2 linked regions of the Astyanax mexicanus genome follow. The protein of the gene in region 1 purifies or fractionates together with the protein of each later gene. This does not show direct contact. Links are inferred from orthologs where the notes say so. Each region holds a gene or a part of one and is shown in the gene's direction. Other genes may lie near its edges. The genes, in order: bag5 and dnajb4.

Region 1 (10,854 bases):
CTGGTTTGAATTTGATGTTCTTAATAAAATTAGATACAAAAAAAAGAACGTTTAGACAGTGGATATAAAATACCTAAATATACTGGCCCACAATAACCAAATTTTCAAATTCATTTAATAGTATATACACGCTGCAGCCTGATAAGAAATAATACTAGAGTGGGATAGTTTGGGTAACTCAGACACCATTTCAAATTAAAGATGCAGTAGATGCTTTTTCACAAGTAATTAGATACACTGAAGAAGTCCACAAAAGAAGGCATGGGAATGGGTGTTCAAGTCCTTTAAATACTTTAAAACAGCACTTGTTTGCAACTGGCATTAAAGTCACAAAAATGCATTTTTAAAACCACAAATTATTAAGGCCTGGTTTGAAAGTGAGATGCCTGCACATCAGTTAAATGTAGCTAAAATCAAGTACTAACTTATTGTAAATAGTAAAGTACATAGAAAATGAATGCCAAAGGTGATAAAGTTAAACACAGCATGTTGGGGTGTAATGTTTTACTCACAATCATTATTATAAAGGGTCAGGTAATACAAATTTCAAAGCGTTATGAATATTATGACTTTTCAAACCTTGTTGTTAAAGTACTTACATAAGCATTTACAATTTTAAACCTTAATCTTAAGATGCGATATCTACCAAAAGTTCTGTTATAACTACTAACTTTGCAGGAAGTGAAAACATTTGCTTTGTGATCTTTTTCTTTCCTATAAAAATACAAATAAAGTAATCTTGCCTAAAATGTGTCACCATTACCTTTGATTTTTTTTTATTTGGTCATTTGATTTGGGGTGCCCAACCTTTGCCCCTGTTTATAGAACAATGTCAATTGAAATAATAATTTGAATGATAATATGTTTTACACATGGTAACCATAAAAATATTGTGCAAAGCTGGAGCCACTTAAAATGTAAACAAAAACAGAATGCAATCTCATAGACCCACATTTTTGGGAGAGCAGTTGTGGGAAATGTCCGATTTTTGTCTGGTGGAGAATTCTTGATTTTTTGTTTTAAAATATACCAAATGTTTTCTATTGGTGAAGTGTCTGGACAGCAGATCTAAGAGCCTTTTCTTCTATGAAGCATGCTGTTGTGACTTTGTAGAGATGTAGGCTTTTGAACTGTGTGCTGATATATCAACCTGGATGGTCCCTAAACTCTTGAGTCCGCAGGACATGACATCCTTGGTTTTCAAAAAAAAAAAAAAAAAAAAAGATTTTGATTTATCTGATGACAGAGCAGCTTTTAATTTGGCCCAGAATAGATGGTGACATTTTTGAATGGTGTCTCTTTTTTTGCATGATTCAGTTTGTGTTTACAGACAGTGATTACTGTAAAGCGTTTCTGAGCCCATGTAGTTTTTTCTAGTTTGGAATCACGCCTGTTGTTTTGCTTTTTTAAGGGTGCAAAGATCATGAGCATCTAAACCTTAACGTCTGCCTTGTTCCTTGCACACATGGAGTTCTCCAGATTCTCTAAATCTTTTGATGATATTATGTAGATGGTGGGATATCCAAAGTCAGTTTTAGCAAAATATTCAGCCTGGCCTGAAATAGTCTTGTTGTTCCCCTGTCATGTGAGTTACTTGCGAATAACTAACTCATCTAGCTTGTTTTTTTCCAGTCTTCTGTTGCCCAAATCTCAAGTTCAAATTCCTCGTTTCTCACTGTCAACATCTTATATATTATGTGCTCTATTGGGAATAAAATGTGGGTCTATGAAGTTTGCACATCACTGCGTTCAGTTCTATTAACTTTAATAATTTTTTAATTTTTTATTTTTTCTATTAACTTTAATTTTACACAGCATCCAATTTTTTTTTGGAACGGTGGTTGTAGGTTTAATTTTTATTTGTATAGTTACTTATTTACCATTTGAGCATATTCATAATGTATGAGAACAGATTGTTTAAAGGTTCATTATATTTTAGCGCAAGATATGCTCAGGTGATGGTACTATAACAAAGAGGATAAGATATAAACAAACATAAACAAACATAAACAAAATGTCCCTTAACATTTATGTTTTTGTCTTTAATGCTGCCTGGGGCTGAAGGATATGGCAAAAATCTATATCACAATACATTTCTTAATTTTCATAGGGTTCAATTCTATCATCAATATTAACAATATAAAAGCCACCACCTTAATCTAGGTGATCATGCACTGATTAAGATATTGTAAGAAAATTAATATAAGAGTATTTAAAAACATTTTTTATAATACATAGTATTTATAATATTTTGACACTCAGACAAAATGCATCAGCAGAGGCAGAATCTGCTATTTAAATGCTACACTGTACATTGATTATTTTTAATGTTTGCTGCACATCAACCAGCTAAACAGAATCCGGAAATTTCGACAAATGTCGACACGATACAATATAGATATATTGTCCAGCTCTAAAGTTGCCTGACAATATTAACAGACGTAAAAGCTGCTGACAGGGGATCATGTTAGCTCGACAGATACACACCTCTGCTAGCTCATCCTGTGGCTGGCCCGCGCAGTGGTGCCTTATCTTTAGGACACCAGAAGCATAACGCTGAGACCTGAAAAACAAACTGCCCACAGCTCGTGTATTCATTTTTAGTTAATCCTATTCCATATCTACTAAATATCCGTCTATTATCAGACCTTACACACACAGGGTGACCTTAGCTACACACTACTCTCGTGTCGGCACAGCAGAGCGCGCAGCCACAATATGAGGGGAGAAAAAAGGTACATTACCCAACTTTCAAAGTAAAAGTCACCCCAAATTCGTAGCTCACTGCGCCAGTGATATATACATCCAAGAAATAAAAATAATAATAATAAAAAAATAAACCTCATGTAAGCAAATATGTTTTTGGTTAAACCTCACAATACTTAAAAGTAGATACACCCCCACATTTTACACTACTTCTTTAAAAGCTGAAGATGATGAATTTATCACTCTAGTGTTCATTTACCATCACCTAATGTTTACTTATTTATTTACATTTTATTTCCAATAATTTTGTTTAATTGTATTCAGTGAACGTTTACACAATTATTTTTTGCCTAAAAATGTCCGCTTTTATGTATTTACGTAATGTTTTTTAGCACAATTATATATTAATAATTTCACTTTAAAAATAACAATATTATATGTATTATATATGGTATTATTAATAATAATAATAATAATAATAATAATAATAATAATAATAATAATAATAATAATAAATGTATTATTCTGTCTCTCAATTAAAGACTTTTTTTTTATTTGTGCCCGACTTCACACTTCATCTCCGGGAGGAGGTTCCGCTCTTTTCCTGTTGTGATTGAACTGGACGACCGAGACGTTTCACTGAATTTAAAATACGATAACTCTTAACACCTGAACATATTAAGTCTCCATATTGTAAAAATATAAATGTATATATTATTACCACCACGTTAGGAAGCTAAAAGACTGTAGTGACCAAACAGTGGAGTAGCTATAGACTTTTAGTTAGCTAGCTAGCTACCCAAGGTTGTATTGAAGTCTGAGAGAAATCAACAATTAAAAAAAAAGTAAAAACGAGACATAAAATCAGAAGATATAAATGTCTAATTGTCGTTAAACAGTGGAATACATTCTGAATACAGCGATGGACTAAACTCGGGCTCGCTGTCTGTTAGCTACAGCGCTATCTTCTATCCGGGTGTTTTTGTCCCCGCTGGTCATTGGTGGGAGTTAGCCGGCTGGTCCCGTTGGGCTTGTTTCTCTCACACACTGATGTCCCGATGGCTGTGCGCTGGTTATGCAGGTGGGTAGTTTGCTAAAGCTGAATTATTGAGATGTAACGTTAGTTATTAAGTGAGGGGTCTGTTGTTTACAGGACTGGCTGGTTTTATACACAGGCTGGTCTGTAGCTTGTTGTGTGCTAATTTGAGCTCCTCATCGCCTAACCTTGTTCTTGTTGTGTGTATCAGGGAGAGAGAGACACACAAAGGATTGAGCATCTCTCAGTCCAAGCGGATTATTTTATATAAGGTCGAGGCTACCGTTAGCTAGCTAGTCCTTCAAGCTAGCTGCAGTAAACAGACAGATTTTTAATCCTATATTTATAGGTGTGGTTAACTGAGTAATGTAGGTTAACGTTTAGCTATCTTGGCTGTGTACTTGCATCAAGGTGTTCTGTCAAATACAGCTTCCCGAAGCTGTGTAATACTGGGCGGTTCTGCACATGCGCTGAAACACATTTGTTTACGTGTTTTTCGTGATAATTCTGTTTTACTAAGGCGGATTATACAATGTGAGTTTTCTGTTATTGTTTGTTTGAGAGTTTTAAAGTGTAACCAGAAGTCAAATAAAATCAACTTCTTATCACATCAATTAGCTGAGCTAGTTAGCTTAGGTTAGCTAACCCAGCTAACTACATTAAATTTAAACTGATAACAGTTATAACCTAGGATACAACACCTAGGTAAATAAATTAAATCTAATATAACACATGATACATAACCTATTAGTTAGATTAAATTTAAACTAATATAACCTAGCTCCATTACATTTTTAAACGGATAACCTAGGATATATAACCTAGCTACATTAAATTAAAACTGATATAAACTAGGATACATAACCTATTAGCTAACTTACATTACATTTAAATTATATAACCTAGGATAGGTAACCTAGCTACATTAAATGAAGTCTGATATAACCTAGGATACACAACCTATTAGCTACATTAAATTAAAACTGATATAACCTAGGATAGATAACCTAGCTACATTAAATTTAAGTTGATATAACCTAGGCTAGATAACCTAGCTACATAAAATGTAAACTGATATAACCTAGGATAGATAACCTAGCTAATGTTACATTACATTTAAACTGATATAACACATATGGCCCAAATCACTATAACTAGCTAGCTAACATAAGTAACGTTAACCCATCTATACATTTTTAGATGTAATGGTGTTTTTTTTAATCCGACCTACCAGCTGTATTATGTAACTAGCTAGCTAGGCAGCTTTACCTTGAGATAGATATACACACCATGGTAACTAACCCAGTTAGGTTAGCTAAAATGCTTTGACAAGATATCTATAGCTAACTAGCTAGCACTCAGACCTAAAGCTAGTGACTGACATTCATGTGTATAAAAGATTAAACCATCTAACCAAGGTAAATAGTCTTCTGGAAGAACCAGATTATGATGTTTTGAAGACCAAAAAGGGCGGGGCTTTAGAGGGCTGGAAACTGGTGGTATCTTGTTCTGAAGTGTGTCACGTTTTGAGGGCAATAGCGTGAGTTATATTAATATATAGTCGTGTCTACTGTAGATACATCTGTATGTGTGTGTGTGTGTGTGTGTGTGTGTGTGTGTGTGTGTGTGTGTGTGTGTGTGTGGAGTGTGTAATATCCCAGCAGCTCCAGCAGCAGCAGCTCCCTCCTGCTCTCTGAATTGGTTCCCCCGGTCTGTCTATCTGCGCCTGGGCTGCGTGGGGTGGGATGGGATGGGAGGGGCGCCAATGCAGCTTAGCTCGACTAAACGCAAATCTACAGCCTAAAAAGCCCCCGAATACAGAGCCGCTGCACTGTACACACTCAGCGTGCCATCGATCGCTGAAGTACTGAAGTCTCTCAAGGCGTCCAGCAGTTTAGCAGCACGGCTTATGGAAACGAGCCTCTTCAGACATAATGTGCGCGAACGTCTTCGGCGTGTTGAAGAGGTGAGAAATAGGCTTTTCTGCGCAAGGAGGAGGTGGTGGTGGAGAGGAGGTAATGCTGGTGTTGGTGTGTGGAGCCACGGACTCGAGCGCTCGTGCTTATAATTTCTCGTTTTATTGCCTATTACCGGCAAAACGTGGCGTTTCTGCTAGCTGTAATAAATGAGCGTGCGCTATGCTCAGGGCTGGCTCTTTTGGTGGGCGTAGGTAGTTGGGTAGGTATGTAGCTCGCTGGCTAACAGTGCTGAGGTGCATGAATGCGGATCAGCCTCTCTGTCTTTCTCCACGTGTGAACCAAAAAGATAAGGAAGACGTTATGCAAATAGTGGCCTGAAGTGCTGACAGTATTTTAATTCTCTCAACTAGGTGGCTAGTTAACTAGCCTTTTCTTTATCAACATCTGAGTTACTGACCTAGTCTTCCCCATCCTCATGCATCTGTTAGCTAACGAGCTAGGTTAGATGGACTGTTCCAGAAAGGGGGATCCTTTACATTACCTCAGCTAGAGACAGGGTGAAATCATTGACACACAGCCACACTGGCAGTAAATGGTCACCAAAGATGTTCGTTCACAGACCCTTAATGTCACAGTTTCAGACACTTTAATTGGCTTGTGTACCAGATGTTCACCACATTCTCAGCAGATTCCCCAGATGTTTGGTCCTGATGTATCCAGCATCATGTTCTTTCCTGCGCTGACTAATAGGTTTAGGCATGGATGGCATTTGGGCGCCCTCGCCCCACCCTAACCCATAATCCAGAGCTTTCGTGTTGTGCCCAGGCTCACTAGGGACTTCATAATCAGAATCCTGGAGCAGACCCATGACAGCAAGCGTAATCAGGGCATCTTCTACTAAACAAGTGAACGAGGACAGCTGTTTAGGCAGCAGCAGGTTGAGCAGCCGTTCCTGACCACATTCAGGTCCGGCACACACACTTAAAAATTGATGTTCTATTTCACACCTCAAATCAAATCTGGCTGAAGGTGTTGGTATGTGTCTTCACAGCTGCCATCTGTTTTCTTTCACATTCTCATGCAAATAGGTTAACCCCTTAAAATATTTGTCCTGTATATTGGCTACAGGTGTAGGTGATACAAAACCCTTTTTTCTGCAGTAAAATAAGTTATTCATATTCTGAAATCTCCTAAAGGACACTTGGAGAAGCTGCCTGTTCACCCTCTACTCCACTTAATAATTCCAGATTAGTAACAGGAATCAACCCAAATTCTGTAAAAACTGTACAAACATAACGAAAGGAAAGGACATTAACTATTTGATTGGTATTCAGGAAAATTAAGTTTAAAATTTAAAATACGATTTTAAAATTAAGTTCAAGGAAGATTTTCTGATTTTATTTATTATATTTTGACATCAGCAGATTTACTTAATTTTTTAAATATATTTTCTATTACAATTACAATTATGATTTTCAGTCATGTTCCTTATCAAACATTAAAGCTTTTTATTTAATGCTTGAATTAAAAATGTTAGTGTAATGTCAGGCAGACCATTGACAAAAATCCTGGCCTGTTAAGGTGTTAATAATGTAAAAGCACAGACAGCCATAAACAATGGCAAATATTCATAGCATTTATGGACACACAGAAGCTATTATAACTATAACAGCTAGCACATTCAAACAGAGCTACATCTACTGGACATCCCATAAAGGGATTTTAAAACAGTCGTGCTGTTTCAGGTTAGTTCAAGTCCACCGAAAATACCATGTAAGTAAATCCAGAGGTGAATGTATTTATGCCCCCACACAGTGAATGTTCGTGTGTATGTCTGCTTTATCCTTTTTCACGGTCACTGCCAAAAGCACAGCGAATGACCGTGGGATGAGCAGCATTCTTCCACATGAAGGAATTTCTCTTCACCTGGTTATATAAGCATATAAGACAAGTAGACTATTAACCCCTAAAGGGCCACTCCACTGAAAGAAAATATTCCCAGTTCTGCTGCATATCAAAAGAGAATGATTGAATTTGTGATTGAATCATATGGAGGTACATTACTTTTTAAATATTATGGTGTAAGGCAAATTCATGAGCAAACTTCCAAGTACCACCTACTGTGGCTAATGTGTGTGGTCTGTCCATATCTGTACCAGTAATTGGCCAATTGCATATTGTTGATGGTCAATGCAGTATGCCTGCTGATACAGCTCTGAGGAAATAGCAGGAGTGCGAGACAATGTAATGAACTACAGTGTCTACATGGCATCCTCGTGAACCCTAGGTTAATTAGACTGGAAATTATTGAGTTCCACAGGGTTCAACTGTAGGGCCCATGAAACCGATGTTAATAATTAATTAGTACTGTAGTTATGAGAGTAAAGAAAGACGTGTGGGCTTACACACAGGGTGTATCAATTTCAAAGTCCAAGTCCAAAATAATGAAAAATACAGATTAATTCTCTATAAATTTGTGTACAACCTTGGAATGCTTTGCCATACCACTGGTCGTACCACCAGAACCGCTGAAATATTGTATATTGTCACTGTTGTGCTGTTAACACTTGTATCTCCAAAACAGCAACCGTTTTAACAGAAGAAAGTGAAAAAAAACTTGTCAGTTTAAATTAGGTGATTTCAGGCATTTTATAGCATTTCTATTGGTCTGTTTCTCATATAAGTGTAATAAAAATTTGCCAGATTCAAATGTCAGAAGTGGTAATACAGGTGTTTTATGTTGCAGCTTACATATATTTATCTATTTCCACCATTCTAACATTCTAACAAACATTCTTCTACTACTAGCAATATGTAAGGACATGTCTTGTAGAAGATCAGGGTACAAACACATACTGTCACTTTAAGAGTCGAGAGCATGACCTGTCTGTTGTGACCTCACAAGCACATCTCTGTGGAATAGCCGCAGCCCTCCGTGGCCAATAAAATGTTTTCCAAGGACTCTAAAACTGCAGTGAGTGAGCAGACAAGACAGGTCTTGCTTGTGTGCTTTCTTTGTGTACTTGGATTTTGAGGGCATTTCATTTCTTACTGGATATCTCTGCTGCAGTTGGGCTTGTGAGTACTGCTGCTATGATATGTGTAATATGACATTGTGAATTCACTGCAGGCAACAAGCAGAATCACACAGTTATGGGGATATTTGGTCTTTGGTCAAAGGAAGTTCTTTCCACTTCCACAAGCTGAAATAGTCATGACTTTATTGAGGTAGGGCACTTGCTTCATTCTGCATGCATGTTGTGCTGAGAGTAATTAATGACCAGTGGTCCTGGTAAGGATGTTTTAACCCGACTGGTTCTGTCATACATGCGCCCACACTGTGCGATGGGTTCATTAATTTAACTTACGGCCAGAGCAGGCTGTGGATCAAAGCCTGGGTAGCTGTTGTGGTGCTGGAGCCAGGCACAGAGCCCTCTGATTTTTGTTCCGTAAATACCAGCTTTTAATTATTGGTCCAGTTGCAGCTCTTGTCAGACTGTTCTTTTTTTTTTTTTTTTACAAAGGTTGTTTAATTACACAGAATAAGAGTGGCTTCTTTTCAATAGATAATCTAGTATAGCATATGAGGCTTTATACGCTGGTTCTTATGCTTGCAATGGGTGGAGAGCCTGACAGTGTGGGAAAACAAGTTATGTTGGCATTGCTGATCAGAATCCAGATACACGCAACAAAGCTTTTATAACCGTGTCCTAATTATACCCCTTTAAATCCATGTTAAGGTTTGTTGTTGCTGTGGGATAAGATTTGGGGGGTGTTTTACAAAGCAAAATATTTCTAGCTTAAGACAACAGTTTTTTTTTTTTTATGATTTTTTTTTATTTTGTTTAATCCTGCACTTTGCTACATCTTGTGTCTTCACTTATGTACCCTGTGTCTCCCTATAGTTGAGACTGGTTTGTAGGAAGATGTCTGTCAAATCAGTGAGTTTTCTCTCCAAGGGGTTGAGCCGAATTCTTCTTTCCTGCCAGTGTATGACTCCCTTCGTGTGCAGAATGAGTGTAACAGGTTACCCTCATATTTATTTTACTTCTAGTTATAAACAAGGATTAATCTACAGTAACTATGAGAATCACATGCATAAGCAGTTGCTCCCATACTGCTGCGTGATGCTTAAGCACATTAAGGGTATTTCGGAATAGAACTGGTTCTTTTTTTCTTCGTCTGTTGTTCCAAGGATTGAAGATAGCCTGACCACTTCTATTGGTCATATCAAATTTTGGTCTGTTGGTGCAAATCATGGTTCACACAAACATCTTTCACACCTATTATTTTGGTTTAGACTAAATAAAAAACAGAAAACACCCAGAGAAAAGTTCTGCAAAAGTTTTTCTCTGTGTCCTACTATTACTCATCTTAACTTCCTATCCCAATAATTCTACCCCAATACCCCTAATTTCTACACTCACTCTCTCCTGTTCTTCTCCCTCTCAGCCTTTTTGGGAAGCCCTTTGATGGTGGGAAGAGGACAATGGATCATGGCAATCAGCAGCAGCAGCAGACTCAGCAGATGCCGGGGCCATTCCAGGCATTCGCCGGGCCCCAGGGCCCATATCCTGGGCAGCACCCCACCCTGGCGCGGATAGACGAGCTTCAAAGGGAGGTGGCCGCACTGGGTCCGCAAGTGTGTTCCTTCAGTGGCCTGCAGAGCGACAGAGATTACAAGCGGCTGGAACGAGAGCTGACAAGGCTTCAAATGGAGGTCGATCAGGTCAGGAGCCGAGATGGTAATGTTCATGGAGTAGGGGTGTGTAATGCATTGGTGTATGAAGAAATGGGAAGATAATCATTTGTATGGGTCCAGATTTGGAATAGCAGTCGATAATACATCAGTTGTTACTTCTACAGGTGTAGATATAATGCGCACTGAAAAAAAATCCAGTTTCTTTAGTTCTTTTACAAGCTCTGAAATCCATAATCCTAATCCTAATATATCCTAATATATAATAATTATATATTAGGTCAAGAGTAAATATATTGCTCACCTTTTACTTAGGAATGCCAATCCAGTAGCTTAGTGCTGGCATTAATGAATCCATCAATTTTGTGAAATGTGCCAGTTCCAGAGCCTGATGCTAACACCACCATGCTTAACAGTTGGGGTGGTAATGTTCATGGAGTAGGGTTGTAAAGTATTTTGCTGTATTGCCAAACGTCAAGATATGGCTCCAGTTG
Region 2 (10,854 bases), on another chromosome or scaffold:
ATCAAGTATAGTATAACAAGTGATAGTAAAAGGAATATTCTTCATAGGATTGTAGAGTATGTTACAGGAAGATATGATGCAGTATTGTTATGAGCTATAGTTTAGTAATTCAAAATAAAATTATAGTATTAAGTGTGGTAAGCTGATTATATGGTAAATTACATTACATTTGGCAGACGCTTTTGTCCAAAGCAACTTACAATAGTCAAGTACAAGTAATAGGAATTAAGATAAACCATTTTTAGATAGGGCTTAAAGGAGGTCGAAGGGAAATAAAGGGATAGAGAAGTGAAGGAGGGGAAGAAGGAAATGAGGTTAGAAATACTGAAAGGTAAAATATAACAGCTATACAAGCTATAGTAATAAGCTATAGTATAGTCTTTCAACATAATTGCATTACTGACTTATCATACAATAAACAGACATGACCTCAATAATTTTGATAACTGTGATATCATCTAGTATATATAGTACAGTATATAGTATTGTTTATAGTATAGTATAGTATATATGTATATCCATAGAAAGAATATAGTATAAAGCATAAAGTACAGTGTAGTACAGTTGTGTACAGTATAATAAAGTACAGTATAGTGCAATATAGTATTGTGCATTATAGTACGATACAGTATTGTGTATATCTGGATGCAGGTCAGGCTGTTGTTGTTGTTGGTGGTGTGTGTGTGTGTGTGTGTGTGTAGGAGGATGTTAGCCTGTAAGAGAGACTCACCCGGGCTTTCTCTTCACCACACACCACCCCAACCCTCCTCATCTCCTCCTGCAGCTCCTCCACCGAGATAAACCCATCCCTGTTCCGGTCCAGCTTACAGAACAAGCTCTCAAACTGCTCCATCACCTCCTGATCCACTGATCCACACTCACAGCTACAGCTACAGTCTGCTAACAGAGCTGCAGCATCAGCATCAGCACCAGCATCAGCACCAGACCCACGTGAGCCTCCATTCATCCCTTTAACTAAAAGGAACAGTACACAGGATTACATGATTATAGAAAGAGACATTCAGCTTTATAAATCAGTGTAGTTTATAATTAATGACCTGGTTTATTTAGTTAACATATTGAATTAATAAACTGGATTGAGTAACAATAAACTATGTAAATGTTGTGTTTTATAAATAAGGTATGTATAGTGTAATATTTAAAATATATTCATTATATTCGATATGACTAGATTTGTGCTTATACATACACATATACATTACCAATCAAAAGTTTGGACACAACTCTTCTCATTCTCATTCTTCTAATTTCCTATTTTATGATTTTTTACTATTTAAATGTAATACTAAAAAACTATATTAAAGCTATTAATAATTAAAGAAGTTATTTATGAAACAAAAAATTGCTAAACAAACCAAGAAAATGTTTTTTTTTTTTATTAAGAAATTTTGTGTTGTTTTAATACCAATAAAATATGAAAAAACGAAATTCTGACTGCAAACTAAACAGGTTTGCATTGCAGAAATAAAACGTTGTCTGTCTTTTGTCTTTCTCTTTATTAAACTCTTGAATAATTAGTTTCATAATCCAGTTTTTTTTTGTCTCTTTTCTATAATCAGCAGGATGGCTGGATGCTGTCTGCCTCTGCAGGTAAAACGCTGAGTCATGGGAGATTTCACCCACTGGAGTTCCTGCAGTTCCGCTTATTGACCAGCAGGCGCCGCCAAAAATCTTATAAAAAAGCTTATAATAGTCTAATAAAATGTATGTAAGTTTATGTTGCATTAATTATTTTTTTTTTTATTATTTAAATAATAGTGATCAAGCTTACAAAGTACAAAAGATTCTTATAGATTCTTGTAGATCTATTATTGTTAAAGCAAAACACTATTTTACCTATATGAGAATCTAATGCTTTAAGATCAGGCAACTGCTGATCAATATAAATATGCTGACAGTAAATAATTCAGATTTAAGAGGAGGCAGGAGGAGACTTGTAAAATGACTCACCATACACTTTAAAAACACCTACCCTATACTCACTTTTACTTTATCAGCTCCACCTACTGAAGAGTCCCACTGAATAGATCATGTAAAGCAACACTATTCCAAATATGTGCCCATAAACATATCATTATTAAATTAATGTCCCAGGCCTGTTGCAACAAGAAAACCAAACCAACCAATTGGCTTGTGACCCGAGCAAGCCTGGGGCCCACCAGCCAATGAATTTACTGCTAAGATAAACTTTAAATTAGCTTTCAATTAGCTGTCAATGCAGGGAAGTACAGTGGTATTAAAAAAAGTTTGGGCACCCCTGATCCTTTTTTATGATTTTCCTTTATAAATCATTGGTTGTTAGGATCAGCAATTTCAGTTAAATATATCATACAGCAGATGAACACAGTGATGTATTTCGATAATTCAAATGAAGTTTATAGGATTATTAATTATTTAAACAAAATTAGGCAGGCACATAATTTAGGGAACCCAGACAGAAAAGTGACATATTTTACAATATTTAGTAGATCCTCCTTTTGAAGAAATATAACAGCCTTTAAAAGCTTCCTATAGCTTCCAATGAGAGTCTGGCTTCTGGTTTAAGGTATTTTGGATCATTCTTCTTTACAAAACATTCAAAACATCTCCAGTTCATTGTACTTGTTCCTCTGCATGAATGCTTTAGTAGATTTTGAGCAGTGTGTTTAGTGTTCAGGGTCGTTGTCTTGTTGAAGGATCCAGGCCCGGCTCTTCGCTTTAACTTCAACTTCAACTTTCTCACTGATTCTTCAACATTTTTCTGAAGAATCTGCTTATACTGACTGGAATCCATGAGACCCTCAACTTTAACAAGATTCCCAGTACCTGCACTGATCACACAGCCCCACAGCATCAAACCAAGAACAGCTCTGTAAAAGACTGACTGGCTCTATTTAGCACCATTAGGGGTATTAATAGTGCTGATAGTTCAGTGGACTTTCCGTCCCTGAAGGGTGGGCTGGTGGGGGGATTCTGTCTTTTAATATCACAGATATCTAACTTGCTATTTATAGGGAATGATCTGTAGTAGCCTACATCTGTGGCAGCTTTGTTTCCGGCTAAGTGACGCAGAAAGCCAAGAAGCCCCCTAGGTCCACAGCGTTGGTTAGCTAGCTAGCAGGCTAAAACCACTGTTTTTTGGAGTTTTCGATGGGTTGTAAGCTGCCTGGGGAGACATAAAACTTCAAAAAGTGTACCACTAACACCTCCTGAAATCCGTCATGATGTTTTAGAGATGTTCTGGCTCTGTTGTTTACATGTCACTATTTGGCACGTGTGAAAAATTGCATAACTGACTATTCACTGGCTGCCCAATATATCCATTCGTTATAGGTGCTATTGGAACTGGATAATCAATGTTTAAAAATGTCATGTATAGATACATATAGCCCTATAACTGACTAGTGAAATATTTATACTTTTGATACATTAAATACTAAATATTTGGAGATTAATTTGTTGCAAACACAAGTTTGTTGGTGATGTTATTTAGATTAGCTCATGATCAACAATGGGCAATTTTTATTTTTGAATTTAAGGGTCAATTTTAACTGGTCTACCAGCTTAACCAACCTGACCTAGCTAGTCAACCAGCAGTATGACCAGGCAGACTAGCTGACCAGCATGACCACTATACACAAGCTTGTTGAACAGCATGACTATTTTAATGTTCTTTCCATTATTAAGAAATTGTGTTAATAATTGTGAATGTTAGTAGACCATTACAGCATGAAACTTGTGGGAAAGCTGTCCTTGTGTTTTGTTATCAAGATCAAAACCAGATGTTCAGCTCTATGAGAACATTTAATTTTTTTATTATGACATATTTTCTTCAGAATCTGATAGAGGTGTTCTTCCAAAGCTTGTGACTGAGCATTTTCCCCTCAGAGTGAAGACAAATTAGCTTTTTTAGTTAAGATAATGGCCAATTAATCAAAATAAACAGACGTTTTTGGAGGGGTGAGGAGGTGAATGATAACAACTCTCACCCCAGGAGAGTATAAGAGCTGAGAATTGTTTTGGGCAGTTCATTTAATTAAGCCGGCTACAGGAATCATAAACCTGACTGAATGGCTACTGCTAGCAACTAGTGGAAGTGGCCCCCTCACACTTGTTGTACTTCCCTGCATTGGCCATTACAGAATTTAAAGAAGCTTTAAAACCCCTGATATTTTCTGACTCCACCCTCAGCTCAAATTTTAAAAAGTCTAAAAGAAATGACAGGGGTAGTTTAGGCAAGGCAGTGGCTGATGTATGGGTTTAGAGGTGGGGCAGAAGCAAGAGTTGATTGGCTGAGCTGCAGCAGCAGCAGTGTGCCTCTGATAGTGCTTTTCCTCCGATGTGGAATCAGGACCGTTCTGGTTCACAAACCAAATTTTGAAGCTGTTTGCCGTGTTTCCACCAAGAAAAGTAGGTAACGGAACCCGAAATGTTTGTTCACAGCAGAAATGATGCCATATGATGTGATGTGTGTAGGTTAGAAAATGTTTATAAAAAAATTTAAGTATGGTTTTATTACTTCAAAAGAATACATTACAGCTATTGATGGAAAACATATGGTTTAGGGTTCATAACCAGCCATTGGGGTCCCCAGGCCAGCTCAGGGCCCTATAGGGCGACTGTTTAGTTTGCTTGCCCTGTTGCAACGGGCCTGTTCTTTAGGTTTGGTCATCAAATAAACAGCTGAAAGACCAAATTAAATGGTTTTAAAATGGACATAAGACACTATTAGGCCGATACTTTCTTCGTGCCACTTTCTTGTAACAAAACAAATCCTAAAAATAACCTAAATATGAGTTTCCTGGCTTGATTTATTGGTACATTTATCTTCACTAATTTGAGAGTGTGGACGTAGGGGATGACGTGCCGCTCGGCGTTAGCTTTTCTAGAAAGAGCCCACGGTTTCTAGGGGTGCAGTATTGGACCGAGGGAGGGCGGAATGGCTATTTAAAGAGGGAACCAAGGAGAGAGGCAGAAAAACAGAGTAAAACACGAGCCAGAGCATCGAGTAACCGCCTCCATATAGCCGGACGAGCTGCCTTCGTCGTGCCATCACTCATCTATCTCCACTTATCCACCATCTCCACCTCTTCCAGCGGATAACTGACACGTTCATATGCTGGTTATTTCCTATTTTTCCAAAGGATAACCGTCTCAGTCTGCCTCAGTCTTCTCTCAGGAGGCTGAAAACATGGGAAAAGACTATTACAAAATACTGGGGATCTCGAAAGGAGCCGCAGAAGAGGACATTAAAAAGGCGTACAGAAAACAGGCTCTGAAATGGCACCCCGATAAAAACAAGGCGCCCAACGCCAGCGAGAAATTTAAGGAGATAGCCGAGGCTTACGAGGTGCTGAGCGACCCGAAAAAACGAGAGATATACGACCAACACGGAGAGGAAGGTAAGGACATCACATCTCTCCCTCTCCGGCTTCTTATTCGCTCGCCAGCTTGTCTTTTACGAACTTCTCCGTTCCACCTTAACGGTGCAGCAGTAACCGCTGGCATTGATGCGGCGTTTAAGGTGGACTGGCAAATCCTTAAAAAATCATAAAACAAGACAACTTCACCCTGATTCTAGTATTTTCAAAGCAGGTACAGATATAAATAAGTACAATATGCCATATCTGCTTCATACAAACAGTGTCAGTCCTTTATTAGCTGGTTAAGGATTAAAATCCCGTGTTTTAACCGCTGTACCTTTTAAGGTGGAACGGAGAAATTAATAAAACAGTCAAATTCACCCTGATTCTTGTATTGTGAAAGCAGATACAGATATAAATAAGTATAATGTGCAATAATCTAATTTATATAAACATTGTCAGATATGTATTAGCTGGTTAAGTATTAAAATCCAGTGTTTTAACTGCTGCACCTTTTAAGGTAGACTGTCAAATTCATACAACACCCAAATTCATAAAACAAGCCAAATTCTCCCTGATTCTCACATTTACAGAGCAGGTAAAGATACAACGATGTTATTTGTGCCGCATTAGTTTAATATAACTTAATTACTGTCAGGCCTTTATTAGCTGGCGAAGCTGCTGCACCACTTAAGGTGGAACGACCTAATTCCTAAAACAGCCAAATTCACCCTGATTTTAATATTGTCAGAGATGACATGAGGCAATACAAACATATCATAGCATGTATGTTTCATTTCATCATTGTCAGACCACAGTATTTAAAAACAGTGTTTAACTGCTGCAACATTTAAGGTGGAACAGACAAATTCCTAAAACAAGGGACATCACCCTGATTCTCAATTTCTTAGAACAGAGAACAAGCTTAAAAAGACATGATGCAGTAAAATGTGCCATATCTATGTAACGTTAATATAATCATTTCCAAACCTTTAATATATACGATTATCCCTATTTTAGCTAATGTAGCAGCATTCCTAGCCTGCCTTTGCTAAAACGTCAGTGAGCACGTCTCTAAGAGACCACATAATTAGCCATATTGGGACAAAAACGTTGTCATAAACCCAAGCTATAGTGGTCATGGTTTGTGTGGTCAAATCACATCTGGCACAGCGCTTACTTGAGTGTTTTAGGACATAATTGCAACCCATTAGTCTGTAATGAGTGGTGAATACAAATAGAACACTGAAGGAATGCAGACTAGTGAATGGCCTACATACTGTGTAGAATTATTCAGAATTATTTTATAAAGCCTGTCTTATATATATGTATATACAGTATGTTTCATATTATAGCTTATTTTGGGCTATTTGTGCTCTCAGTATAAGACAAATAGCTAGATATCTGAAATGGTACATTCAGTACCATCAGTATTGATGTACCTCACTACCTTCTAAATCTATCACTGAAAGCAACTATAACTACATTATTTGTTGGGATTCCAGAGACACTGAGGAGCAATTGCATGAAACAGTGTCCTAAAATCTCCATCTTGAGGTGTACACTGTGTGCTTAACAGTTATGTGCCTTCTAGAAGTGACAGGAAGGGGGCATCAACAAATTTATGTCTCAGAACATAGAGCCACAAGTTCCACTTTTTGTGTAATCAGGTTGAAGGTGCTGGCTTAAAGCAGAATTCAATCTTCTGTAATACTGTTATTGATATCTAAAACAATTCATAGTGGATTTGATGGGTAATTGATTTGTTTTTTATTGTAGAGAAGCTCTCATAGCACTTTTCCACCAAAAGAACTCTGGTTCTTGAACCAGCTCTGTTTGGGCTTATAGGAACTGTGGTGCTTTTCAGCGAACCAGCACGCGTTTCCACTAGTTTTAGTGGAATCATCAAAATGTCACAAACAGAGGATGTTGCAAAGTGGCGATGAACACGATTTGCAATGAAGAACCTAGTATTCTGGTTCAGGAACCTTCTTTTGTTGGTTAAAACGTGGTAAATGGTTCAAAATTAGGTGTAAAAGCACTATAGGACTTTTCAGTACTGACCATTGAACTTTTTTTTTTTTTAACCATACAAACTCACCAGTAAACGTTTGCAATGTTGATGGCGGCAAAATAGATAGCAAATTCTGATGTAATTTGATGTACCTTTTGAGACAGTAAACCTTTTCTTAAGGGTTGAACACCAAACCACATTAAATAATTAATTCACATTCTAACCATCTAGTTCTGTGGAAATTTCCAAAAAATCAATGTATCTCCTGATTTCCAGGTCTTAAAGGTGGTGGCGGCCCCACTGATGGACAAGGCAGCAACTTCACCTACACCTTTCATGGAGACCCCCACGCAACTTTCGCCACCTTCTTCGGCGGCGCCAACCCGTTCGAGATGTTCTTCGGCAGGAAGGTGAACGGCAGGGACGACGACGACATGGAAGTGGACGGCAGCGACCCGTTCGGCTCCTTCACCAGCTTTAACATCAACGGCTTCCCCCGTGGCGAGCGGCCCGTGGGCTTGGGTGGGCAGCCGCGGAGCAGGAAGCAGGACCCTGCCATTCACCATGAGCTGAGAGTGTCCCTGGAGGAGGTCTTTCACGGCTGCACCAAGCGAATGAAGATCTCACGCAAGCGGCTGAACCCAGATGGACGCACCATGAGGACAGAGGACAAGATCTTGACCATCGAGATTAAGCGTGGCTGGAAGGAAGGCACAAAGATCACATTCCCCCGAGAGGGTGATGAAGCACCCAACACCATCCCAGCTGACATAGTGTTCGTCATCAAGGACAAGCCTCACGCCCACTTCAGGAGAGAGGGGTCGGATATTGTCTACCCAGTGCGCGTCAGTCTGCGGCAGGTGAGGATGTCCAGATCTGGCTTTAGTTTAAGAGTGGGGGTCCCAAAAGTGCAAATAAATGTCAAAAATTAGTTATGATATCAAAACATTGCCCAAGCTACTTATTGGCTTATTGTAAATTTCTACACAGCCAGCAGACAGTCTGGATTTTGCCCTATTGCTTTTGTTTTTCATGCCCAGTGTTGTTAATTTTTCAGTATCAATGCATGAATTTGGGGAGTGAAGCTTCTAAAGGAAGACTGACTGAGTGGTCTGGCATGATCGCTTTTTTGTAACTTGATATATGAACAGTGTCTATAAATATATCTTCAGATTAATGGAAATAATATATTATAGATGGCCAAAAAAGTTGCATGACTATGTCTTTAACTATTATGACACATAGATCAGCTATAAATTTTAAAACACTTCAGTGGCTCCTGTACTGGGCAGCAAGTGAATTTGATGGGTTGAAAGCAGAAAAAATTGGCAACCATAAAAATCTTAAACACTTTGAATGACTTGCGTTGTCCAATTAAATTGTTTTAATATATGCAAATTGGTTTTATACAAGGAATAAGTATATAAATGTATATTTATAAATATAAATGTACAAATGAGCTTCGTAACACTTTCTAGTGAGCAGCATATAGGTTCATATTGTTCAATTAAACTATATGTTAATATTTTCTAAACCCACCCAACATTCTCTGCAGCTTTTCTCCACGCTGTATTACGCTGATTCCCTGTAAATCAGCGGTGATTGATCATAAAGGACAGGAAAGCCTGAAACCGCAATGATTAGTTTTTTTCCATGTTTCTTTTGCCAAAAGAACTGCAACGATTGGTCGACATAATCGACAATGGTGATAATAAAATATTGTTGACAAAGTGCTTGGAACAGAAATAAAGTGGGGGACAAGTTAGAGCTGCTCAGTTCACACTTAGTTCCCACTCAGCTTGGTGTGTCACTATTTTAATTAGCTATGGGAACTTGTGTTAGAGACTGGGAAACAGGGTGACATTCACACAAAAGAACATCAAACATGCAAAAGAGCAAGAGCTAATCGGCTAATGGAATAAATAATTTACAGATTAGTTGCGACTATTTTTTAGCCTGTAATGGAGCTGCTAGAGCCTTCCATTAAATCTCTATATTAAATATTTTTTAAACTTCTGATTCATTCAGTAACAGAATGACTAGACCACTTCCTACTATAGGCCTACAGCATATAGTACATTGGCTGTTGATCAAGTTGTTGGTTTCATAAGTCAATGAAAGCATTTTTGTTATTTTTGTTAGCTCAGGCTCGATTTGACTGAGGCCATTTACAATCCAGGCACAACACAACAGCGCTGCCTTTCACTTCCCACTGATTCTGCCATAGAAGGAGCTACTAGTAAGCCAAGAACAGATTTAAGGGGGTGGATGCTTGTCTTTAGCCACCGAACAGCTGATCTAACATGCGTCTCTCGCTGCTTATGCTTCACATTACATAAGAAGTGCACTGACTTGAGAGTAGATGTGAAATCTGCTGCCCAAGATTGTACAACACTCTGTAGTCCAGACAGGAATAACAGCGATCCACCGGCTTGTTCATTCGATTTCTCTCTGAAGTAAATTTTAAGACTAAAGGCGTTTTGTTACACCTGTAGTTGGTTTATATGGTCTGGATCTGTTCATAAATTTGTTTATTTGGACTTTGTACCTCTGTTTGGTTTGGTTTCACACAGGCATACACTTAACACACCAAAATGTGCACCTGTAAACTAAGGGAACACGTCTTATCCTCTGATTGGTCAGAGCTGTCTGGAGCAGGAGCGAGAAAGTAAATATATTGAGAAGATTCTGTGTTCCAGTGTGTATATCTGTGCAGTGTGAAGCGGCTTTAACACAAAACGCTGAAAATTTGCTGCTACACTTTCAAACATAGTGTTTTTAATGGGATGTGCAGCACAGATGTATACATAGTAATTGGAGTCGTGCGGCTGCGAGCAGTGAACGCAACACAGACCGTAAACAGCATGGAGCAGCAGAGACAGCATTTGTTCACAGTAATTAGCATTATTTGGCTAATATATCAGATTAAACTAAGCCTTATCAGCAGTTTAGCTTAAATAAAAGGAGTATATTTAATAGCTGGGTTGGATCGAGATTGGATCAAGTTCTCACCACAAGAGAACCGCTTCAGACTTTGTGACTAAACCGGTGGTTTTGATTCACGCCCGAGTGTGATTACTGTTTTTACACCTGCTCAAATGAACCACACTAAGGGAACAAACGAACCAGAATCAGAACCAGTTTTAACCAAACCAAATAGTGCTGGTGTGACAGTACTCTAATCCTACAGCTGTTTCTACTAGTGCAGTTCAATAAGAGATTTGGTTTTTGGTGTTTAGGCAATGATAAGTGGGGTTTATTTCACGTCTATATCTTAAGGATAGTCTTTTTAATTTGTGTTTCTTTGTCAATAATCAACTGATAATTTTTTCATTTTCTTTTCAGTCGTTGTGTGGCTGCTCCGTTACTGTGTCAACGATAGATGGGAAAACGTGCAACATAAAGATAACTGACGTCATCAAACCTGGCATGAGGAAGACAATCGCTGGACAGGGTTTGCCCTTCCCTAAAAACCCA

The links.
Region 2: the proteins of bag5 (region 1) and dnajb4 purify together in Homo sapiens (affinity purification with mass spectrometry; 4 studies listed by BioGRID and IntAct, with this or other methods). This does not show direct contact. The link is inferred for Astyanax mexicanus from reciprocal best matches to the Homo sapiens genes BAG5 and DNAJB4.

Annotation. Positions count from the first base shown.
Region 1 is NC_064414.1:30,075,232-30,086,085, forward strand, and holds the start of bag5 (BAG family molecular chaperone regulator 5), read left to right. Parts: upstream 1-5,338; 5' UTR 5,339-5,676; coding exon 5,677-5,708; intron 5,709-9,559; exon of another isoform or gene 9,560-9,687; intron 9,688-10,113; coding exon 10,114-10,390; intron 10,391-10,854. Other genes in the region: cytochrome c oxidase assembly factor 8, read right to left, coding at 1-19, 2,488-2,598. UniProt on the Homo sapiens protein: Co-chaperone for HSP/HSP70 proteins. It functions as a nucleotide-exchange factor promoting the release of ADP from HSP70, thereby activating HSP70-mediated protein refolding.
Region 2 is NC_064415.1:56,249,181-56,260,034, forward strand, and holds the start of dnajb4 (dnaJ homolog subfamily B member 4), read left to right. Parts: upstream 1-4,928; 5' UTR 4,929-5,191; coding exon 5,192-5,402; intron 5,403-7,653; coding exon 7,654-8,237; intron 8,238-10,722; coding exon 10,723-10,854. Other genes in the region: slc25a24l (solute carrier family 25 member 24, like), read right to left, coding at 731-967. UniProt on the Homo sapiens protein: Probable chaperone. Stimulates ATP hydrolysis and the folding of unfolded proteins mediated by HSPA1A/B (in vitro).